2 linked regions of the Canis lupus familiaris genome follow. The protein of the gene in region 2 interacts with the protein of the main gene of each other region in a biochemical or structural test. Links are inferred from orthologs where the notes say so. Each region holds a gene or a part of one and is shown on either strand. Other genes may lie near its edges. The genes, in order: UBE2V1 and PELI1.

Region 1 (3,821 bases), on a different chromosome or scaffold from region 2:
ATGGTCTGACAATAAAAAGGCTGCTTATGGAATACTGTTATGTTCAACTTTACTTACAGGATGTTAAATCCTTAGAACTAAGGTATCCCCCAGAAAAAGATTAATGGAAACATCGATTGCTTTTCAGACTTGATAGTTGCTGCTTCAAAAGGTGGTTTTATACAAACACTAAATTAAAAAAAAAAATCTTTAGAACACAATGAATCGCTTTTATTTCGGTATGCATCCACATCTCAGCATTTAGTGGTCCTGAACAGAAAAGTGGAAAAACGCAGCAATTTGCCAGGAAGTCAAGCCCGCCAATTTCGGGGATCTGCTGTGCACACTGAGTTCTTTCTCGATCCCTGCTGAGGACCATGAGACGCAGCAGCACCAAAACCAAAGTATGCACCGAATCCAAGGTTCTTTTCGTTCCAGTTGTCAGATTCCAAACTAGACCCAAATGGATTGTAAGATGACCACATGAGAACCCTGTTTAAAACTTCTTCAATTGTTAAAAGCAAAAGCAATTATAGGAAAAGAAAACAATTCATTCAGAGGGATCGTGTGTGCTTACAAGTGTCTTCTGTGGCCTTTCTCCAAGTTTTACCACCAAGCACTTTGAGAGCTGGCAGGTCTGAATACCCCTGGTGACTGTTCTTTTCACTTTATCAAAACCTGAGCTAAAAAACGGCATCAGCTGATGATGACAGCAGAGGGTGGCAGGGCTGAGGACCCAATATTCATTCCCAGGCTGGTGGAGAGTGAGTAAATGTGGTTCCAAACTAAACGAGGGAAGTCAGAGACTCTTTCCAACCTTACCTGATGGCTTCTGGCCAAAGCAAGGAAGTATTGGGTTGTGATGGTGCAAAAAGGGACTTGAGGAGGAAGGAAAAAGCAGCACCCCTCGATTAAGGTGGGGGAGAAGATATGGGGAAAGCCCTGAATTCCTCACCAAAGGCCAATTTCAGAGGGGAGCAGAGGGGGTTACAATCTATGCTTCGGCCGAGGGTGGTCATGGGAAGAGAAAGGATGATGGCTTGGAGGGGGGAGGGCATCATTTAAGACTTAAAAAAGGAAACCAGGGGTGCAGCTGGAGCACCCCTGCACACCCAGCAGTAGTCCCACAGGCTGCGACCTGAAACCTTCACGCCTATTCTAGCAAGCCACCCCAAGCTGGAGGGCTGTTGCAGGGACAGAGGGGTGGGTGGAGGGAGGGAGGGAGGGAGGGAGGGAGGGAGGGAGCCAGCAGGAGGAGAAGGGGAGAAGGCAGAGACCCCAGGCCATGTAATCAGCAGCAAGGTGATTGTGTGATGTGTCTTTTCACAGTTGAGTTAGATGTGCCCCACCGGTTATGATGGGAATCAATTTAAATATACTTTCTTGATCCCAGAAGTTCAACTATGTGGACAGTGGTTACACTTGACAGGATGATTTGTTATAGCACAACTTATATATTTCAAATGGACAAAAAATTAGTATCGTTTACAGTATCTTAAGATAAATTGCCTTTGAATGGGAGCTTCCTTTCCAGTACTTTTGAGGTCTACAAGACGTATCTAGAAAATGTACTACTGTGGAAAATGACTGCTTAAATCGAATGGGGGGGGAGAGGGGGCCTGTGGTTTCTCTTTTTGATTAATTGCTGTAACACTGTCCTTCGGGTGGCTGAGGGAGTTTCATGTTTTCTTTAGACATCATTAGGCGCCGGAGCTCTTGCAGGACAACTTTGATGCTATATGAATTCTGCCATTTTGCTAGCACGGATATGGCTCTTGGGTCCACCTACAGAAAGGCAAACAAAAAAACTGTCAGGCTCTCCAACAAATGAATCACTATATGCTGGAGTAAAACTGCAGATAGGAGTAAAGTGCATTTCTCAAGTGGAACATGCCCATCACACCACCATATCTGACATGTAGAATTACCTGCATGACTCCCTCCCTCTGGGCAGTCTGTTTTTTCCTGTTTGTGTCCGAACCCTCACTGTTTAGGAGAAGGAAACTATGGATATGTAAAGCTACCTTCAGAGAAATGGCCCTGACACTTAGCAAGACTCCACCCAGCTGGCTCTAGAACAGTGACCTGCTCTCCTGGATGCACTGGCTGCTGCCTCTGCTCAAGGCTGTCCTTTCTTGGCTCTACACCCAGGTGGTAGATGATAACAATGTTCAGTGCAGTAAGGAGCAAAGGCAACTGGTGGCCCAAATCCACACTCTGGTGACAAGGCCCTGCCTCTGAGTCACATTCTCTCATGTTAGTACCGTAATTCCCAAAAGAAATTTCCCAAAGTGTGAGTTGAGTTTTGGGTTCAGGACTTTGGTGGAGCTCAGATACAACATTAAACACTGAACACACAGCAACAAGCCCATATCTTTTCGCTTTTCTTTCAAGTCTTCTGAGTGTCTCAAAACAAAGGCTTAACTCACATAATGCTAACACGTAAAACCCTTCAACACTTGCTGATCTCCCCTTTGAGCAGGTCTCAAAGGCTCAAAGCCTTTGGCAAGAAACATGGGGCATTTATTAATGTCACTTTGATTCTGTAGTATTTACTGTTGCCATTACTGCCTTCTATGACAAGAGAGGCTGGTTTTCCATTTATGGTAGTAAAAATGAATGTGAAAAAGCAAGCCATTAAAGGGGAAAAAAATAGCATGTCCTGTAAATAAGGCTCAGGAAGTACAATTATGACCCCGGATAGGACTTTGCAGCTCCAAGCCTCAGGCTCCTCATCTTTACCTCATGAGGGTGTATCATGAAGACAGAATGAGCTCCTATCTCAAAGCAAGCAGCACAGTGTTGGCCCAGAGTAAGTGTCACACGAATGATGATTTAAACACAGCTGAGGAATAGGCCCTTACACCAAGTCTGCATATGTTCATACTGCAATATATTTCATCATCAAATCACCAAGATCATCAAGATTATCAAATCACCAATATAGAATTAGGGCCACAGTGCTCCTGGTGTTTGAGTACAAAAAGCATCTCTCAACCCAAAGGAACAATATGGGCAGGAAAAACAACTTACCACTCCATTAGAACTATTAACTCCATTCATATTAATTTTTGTTACAAATCTTACAAAGGGGGGTGCTTCTGGGTATTTAGGTCCACATTCTATTTTAAGGCTGTATATTCGGTTTTCATAAATTGTCTGGAAAAAAAAGGTACAGAGATGTCAGGCAATTACACACCATGAACTCAAAAAGGCAGATCTTTTGAAACCCCATTTATTCCTGCCTGCAGAACTGGTGTATCTACTTCCTATATTTATACATAGTCTACTTGTTATTTGTTAAATTAGTAGTAACTTGTCCCCACACTAGTGTATATCAATTCTGGTCTTGGGGGAATAAAAAGGCAGAAAATTTAAAATAGTATCACTGAAGTTTCAAGTTAGTGTTATTTAAATCCAATCAGATGGACTTGTTTTTATATTAATTTCTCTACTTTGCAGACCTGTCCTGTGCTCTGGGCAATGGTGTGTAATAGGCATTCTTTACTCTGGAAAGCCACATTAAAGGTCTACTCACAGCAGGGTCATCAGCCAATGCAGTAAATACCACCATGTGCAAAGCACTGAAAAGGTGCTTTGAGAACTTTGAGAACTTCAAAATTAAACAAAAGTTAGTGGGTGTGGGTGCGGATACAAGAACTGTTTTCCCATTTCCTCATCACTTTGGGGTGGTGGGCAACATCATCTCTCCCTGCAAACTTTTCATCAATCTGAGAGACTACAGGTATTTAGTGGGTGAGGTGGGGAGCCGAGGATGCCAGGCCTACAGGGAGAAAAGACTGTCCTTCAAACACCAACCGTGGCTCTGTAGAAAAACACAG
Region 2 (3,821 bases):
GTGAACCCATTACGTGGATGCATAACAAGAACGCCATTAGTGGTTAAACCATCCATCTGCCCATCTGACGTCTTCCATTTGGCAGCCTTCTCCTAGTAGCAATTAGAATAGTGAGCTTCCATTTCTTTTTGTAATTTGGAAACAGAAGTGGTTATAATATAATGCATCATTTAGGAAAAAAGCTTTTTACCCCAAGAAAGATGTTTTTTGATGAGTCAAATCCTGCAGCATAAATCCGTGCTGTAAAGGGGGGATTCCGTTCACATATGATTCTACAGGCAAATCTTGATATAGTGCTTTGCACTGACTGTGTATCAGAATTACTTTGGCTTCCAGGAACTGTGTCAGTTACTACAAAATCAATGGGACTTTCAGTCGACCGACCAATCTAAAGGAAAAAAGAAATGTCTATAAACCTACTGGAAGGAACACAATGGAAAAATCCATTCAAGAAAGATACAAAAAGGTGAAATCAGTAAGCCTCTGAAATTTCTAGAGCTCAAACTTATACTTAACTCTGAGAGCATCTACACCCTGGAAACCTAATCTGTCATACTTGTTCTGACATGATAATCATTTAGAGCATAGAAGTAAGTGGGAACTTACCATCCAGAATATATAAAACCCTCAGGGAATGCAGAGTTTAGCATGGCTGAGATTTCTAGATGGCTGGAAACTTTAATTTTAACCCCTTTGGAGGGAAATATGCCTAACATGTATTACTCTACCTTCTTCAACAGAATATAGTGAACACACAAGTAAATCTTTTATGATGACTCCAAGACATTGAACTATAAATACCATTTATATTATACTGAATGCAGTGATGTTTCAGGTGCTATAAAGGTGTACAAGAATGCTGATCCTTACATTATGGGCTTATATAGCTTTGCTTTGAGGCCTTATGCATACTTTATAGATATTTTTGTGTGTTTTCTGTCAAGTTGTCAACTCCCATTTCTTGCTATTAGGCATATTTGGTTCTAGCAGCATACCCCTCCTCTAATCAGCCACTATTATTCTGCTAGGGTTGAGGAAAAAAAAAAAAACAAAAACAGACTTCAAAGAATAGTATTTCAAAAGGTTCTTGGTAAGATCTTAAAGGATTCTCCAGGGAGCAAAGAAAAGGAATTTTAGTACATGGCTTATGTGGCCTTTATTTTATATACCTGGATGTCCTTTTTATTTTCTTCCTGTTTCTTGGCCATTATTTTAGAGAGACAAGGTTCCCAGATAAGAGTTTTGATATATGGGTCAGTAAATTAAAACATCTTCAGAGGTACCACTAGCAAATAAACTAATTTTCATTTTGAAAGATGAAAGTTGAGAAGAAAAAAAGAAATAGATGACAGAACTGATTGTCTTGGGGTTTTATTTTATTTTATTTTTTAAAGATTTTACTTATTTATTCATGAGAGACACACACACACACAGAGAAGCAGAGACACAGGCAGAGGGAGAAGCAGGCTCCATGCAGGGAGCCTGATGTGGGACTGGATCCTGGGTCTCCAGGATCACACCCTGGGCTGAAGGCGCCACTATACCGCTGAACCACCTGGGCTGCCCTGTCTCGGGGTTTTAAAGTAAACATTTAAAAATGAAAGAAAAAAGGAAATCTGGAATAGAGGAGAGTGTCACAGGGTTTTAAAGTAAACATTTAAAACTGAGTTCATTCATATATTTGTTATCAAGTAATATAAAACTGAAGTAGATATTTAGAAAAAAACACTGACCCTCTACAAAGATGATGACACTTCAAAGACATTCTTTGCATAGCTGAGTCTTAAGAATTCCTCATTACCACACACTTTTGGAGAAAATCCTTTTAGCATTTTTGTCCTATCATCAAGCATGTCTTTCTTATTTGGATGGTTTTAGAAGAAAACTGGTTAGTTAACAAACTTAAGACTGCATGTCCCTTTTCCTGCTTTTTAGATAACATTTAAAGAAAATGGTCTCAGAAACTTTTGAAACTAAAAATATTTCTAAAAATAAAAGGTTCTTTTAGATCCAAAAAATGCAGGCCCAGGAATGGATTGAGGATTGATATTTAGAATCAAGATATTCAGAAGTGGCACTCAATTGGGAGGGGAGATTGTTCCAGAAGAGCTGATACTTGAGCTGAGTCTTAGAGATTTAAGATATCAAAGCAATATTGGTTAAGATAGGTCAGAAGGAAGAAACCTTAAGTATCCATGAAGAGAAAAAGCCTATGTGATCATGATCAAAGTGCCAAAATGTAACTGTGTTAAGATAAATTTTAACAATTCTTCCTCTAACTGCTACAATTAGCTTTAAAAATATAGAGCTCATGTCATTCCCTCCCACTCTCATTAAAAACCCTAATGGTTCCTTCCTCACAGACTATCCAAACTTCTTAGTTTCTTATTTCTATAATAATTAGAAATTGACTTCACAATTTGCTTCCTACCGATCCAGCTTAGTTTCCTATCATTGCCATTCATATGAAAAGTATATTCTAGCCCCAAGCAGCCCGTAAATCTTCTACTACACCACTGTGTACTTTGTGATCTCTTTTGTCAGAATGCCTCTCTACTGGCTAGACTGACAAAATCATACTCACTTGGATGACAAAAAAAAAAAAAAGTCTGGATAAAAAGTCACTACTGTGACATCTTCCCTCCTCTTCAACCCAATCAGAAACTTGTACTTCACATTTAGATTGCCAGTATAACACCTATGAATATAACCAAATTATAATGTCTCCTTTATTTACTTCATAGTGTCAACCAAATGCAGAGAGTTGGAGTTTAAATAGCTAATGAATTACAATAAATGTTCTTGTTCAGTTTGGAAGGAAGGCAGGCAATCCCAGAATGATTATAAAATCAGTTCCTCAGAGACTGGCTAATTTATCAGGGTAGTTTCCGATATATCTCCAATTTTTTGATGTAGAAATGTTTGGATTTTCCATCAGTGTAATGCTTTGTAGAAGGAGTATCATGACTACAATTTAGAAAAAACTCTCCTTTATGAAAAGGAAAAAACTGAAAATGCTGCAACTTATCTAAGGAACCCTCATAAGATAGTAAAGACACTGTTCTATAATTCAGAATGCCTGCTTTTTTTTAAAGATTTTATTTATTTATTTATTCATGAGAGACAGAGAGAGAGAGAGAGAGAGAGAGAGGCAGAGACAAGGCAGAGGGAGAAGCAGGCTCCATGCAGGGAGCCCGATGCGGTACTTGATCCTGGGACTCCAGGATAATGCCCTGGGCTGAAGGCAGACGCTAAATTGCTGAGCCACCCAGGGATCCCCAAGAATGCCTGTTTTTGTTTTTTTTTTGAAAAGTTAAAAATTCCTTAATTTTTTATTCCTGGTACCACTACCACAATTTACAGGGCAATATACCTGATGTAATGAAAAGAAAAAGAAAAAGAAAAAGACAAAGCTACAACAGATAAAAGACCTCAGGAATGTACATCTAATTGACACTACATTGCATTAATCAATAGCTGCACTTTTTGCAAACTGTGGCTATGACGGTCCTGAACAAGAAGGGTTTCCTGTTTAAGCTGCAGTAACTTTTCTGACTATGGATCATCGTTCCTCCTGTGGCAGATTTTTACAGTTCCTCTAATGCATTTGGGACGACTGTCTCAAAGTAACCTGCAGCTTTCCTGACAACTCCTCGCTCTCTCTCCTGCTAAGAACTGTAGCCCTTTTCTTCTGAAATTTTTTTAGAACCTTCTGCTACCATATCCACCACTTCTACCACCAGATCCATAACCACCACCATAGGGACTGCCCGAGCTTCTTCCACCAAAACTGCCCCCTTTCATGGGTCCATAATTTGATT

Evidence for each region.
Region 1: the proteins of PELI1 (region 2) and UBE2V1 form a complex in vitro, tested with the Homo sapiens proteins (3 studies listed by BioGRID). The link is inferred for Canis lupus familiaris from reciprocal best matches to the Homo sapiens genes PELI1 and UBE2V1.

The regions. Positions count from the first base shown.
Region 1 is NC_049245.1:37,194,635-37,198,455, forward strand, and holds part of UBE2V1 (ubiquitin-conjugating enzyme E2 variant 1), read right to left. Parts: intron 3,139-3,821; coding exon 3,013-3,138; intron 1,765-3,012; coding exon 1,618-1,764; 3' UTR 1-1,617. UniProt on the Homo sapiens protein: Has no ubiquitin ligase activity on its own. The UBE2V1-UBE2N heterodimer catalyzes the synthesis of non-canonical poly-ubiquitin chains that are linked through Lys-63.
Region 2 is NC_049231.1:65,022,908-65,026,728, forward strand, and holds part of PELI1 (E3 ubiquitin-protein ligase pellino homolog 1), read right to left. Parts: exon of another isoform or gene 3,398-3,821; intron 389-3,397; coding exon 191-388; intron 93-190; coding exon 1-92. UniProt on the Homo sapiens protein: E3 ubiquitin ligase catalyzing the covalent attachment of ubiquitin moieties onto substrate proteins. Involved in the TLR and IL-1 signaling pathways via interaction with the complex containing IRAK kinases and TRAF6.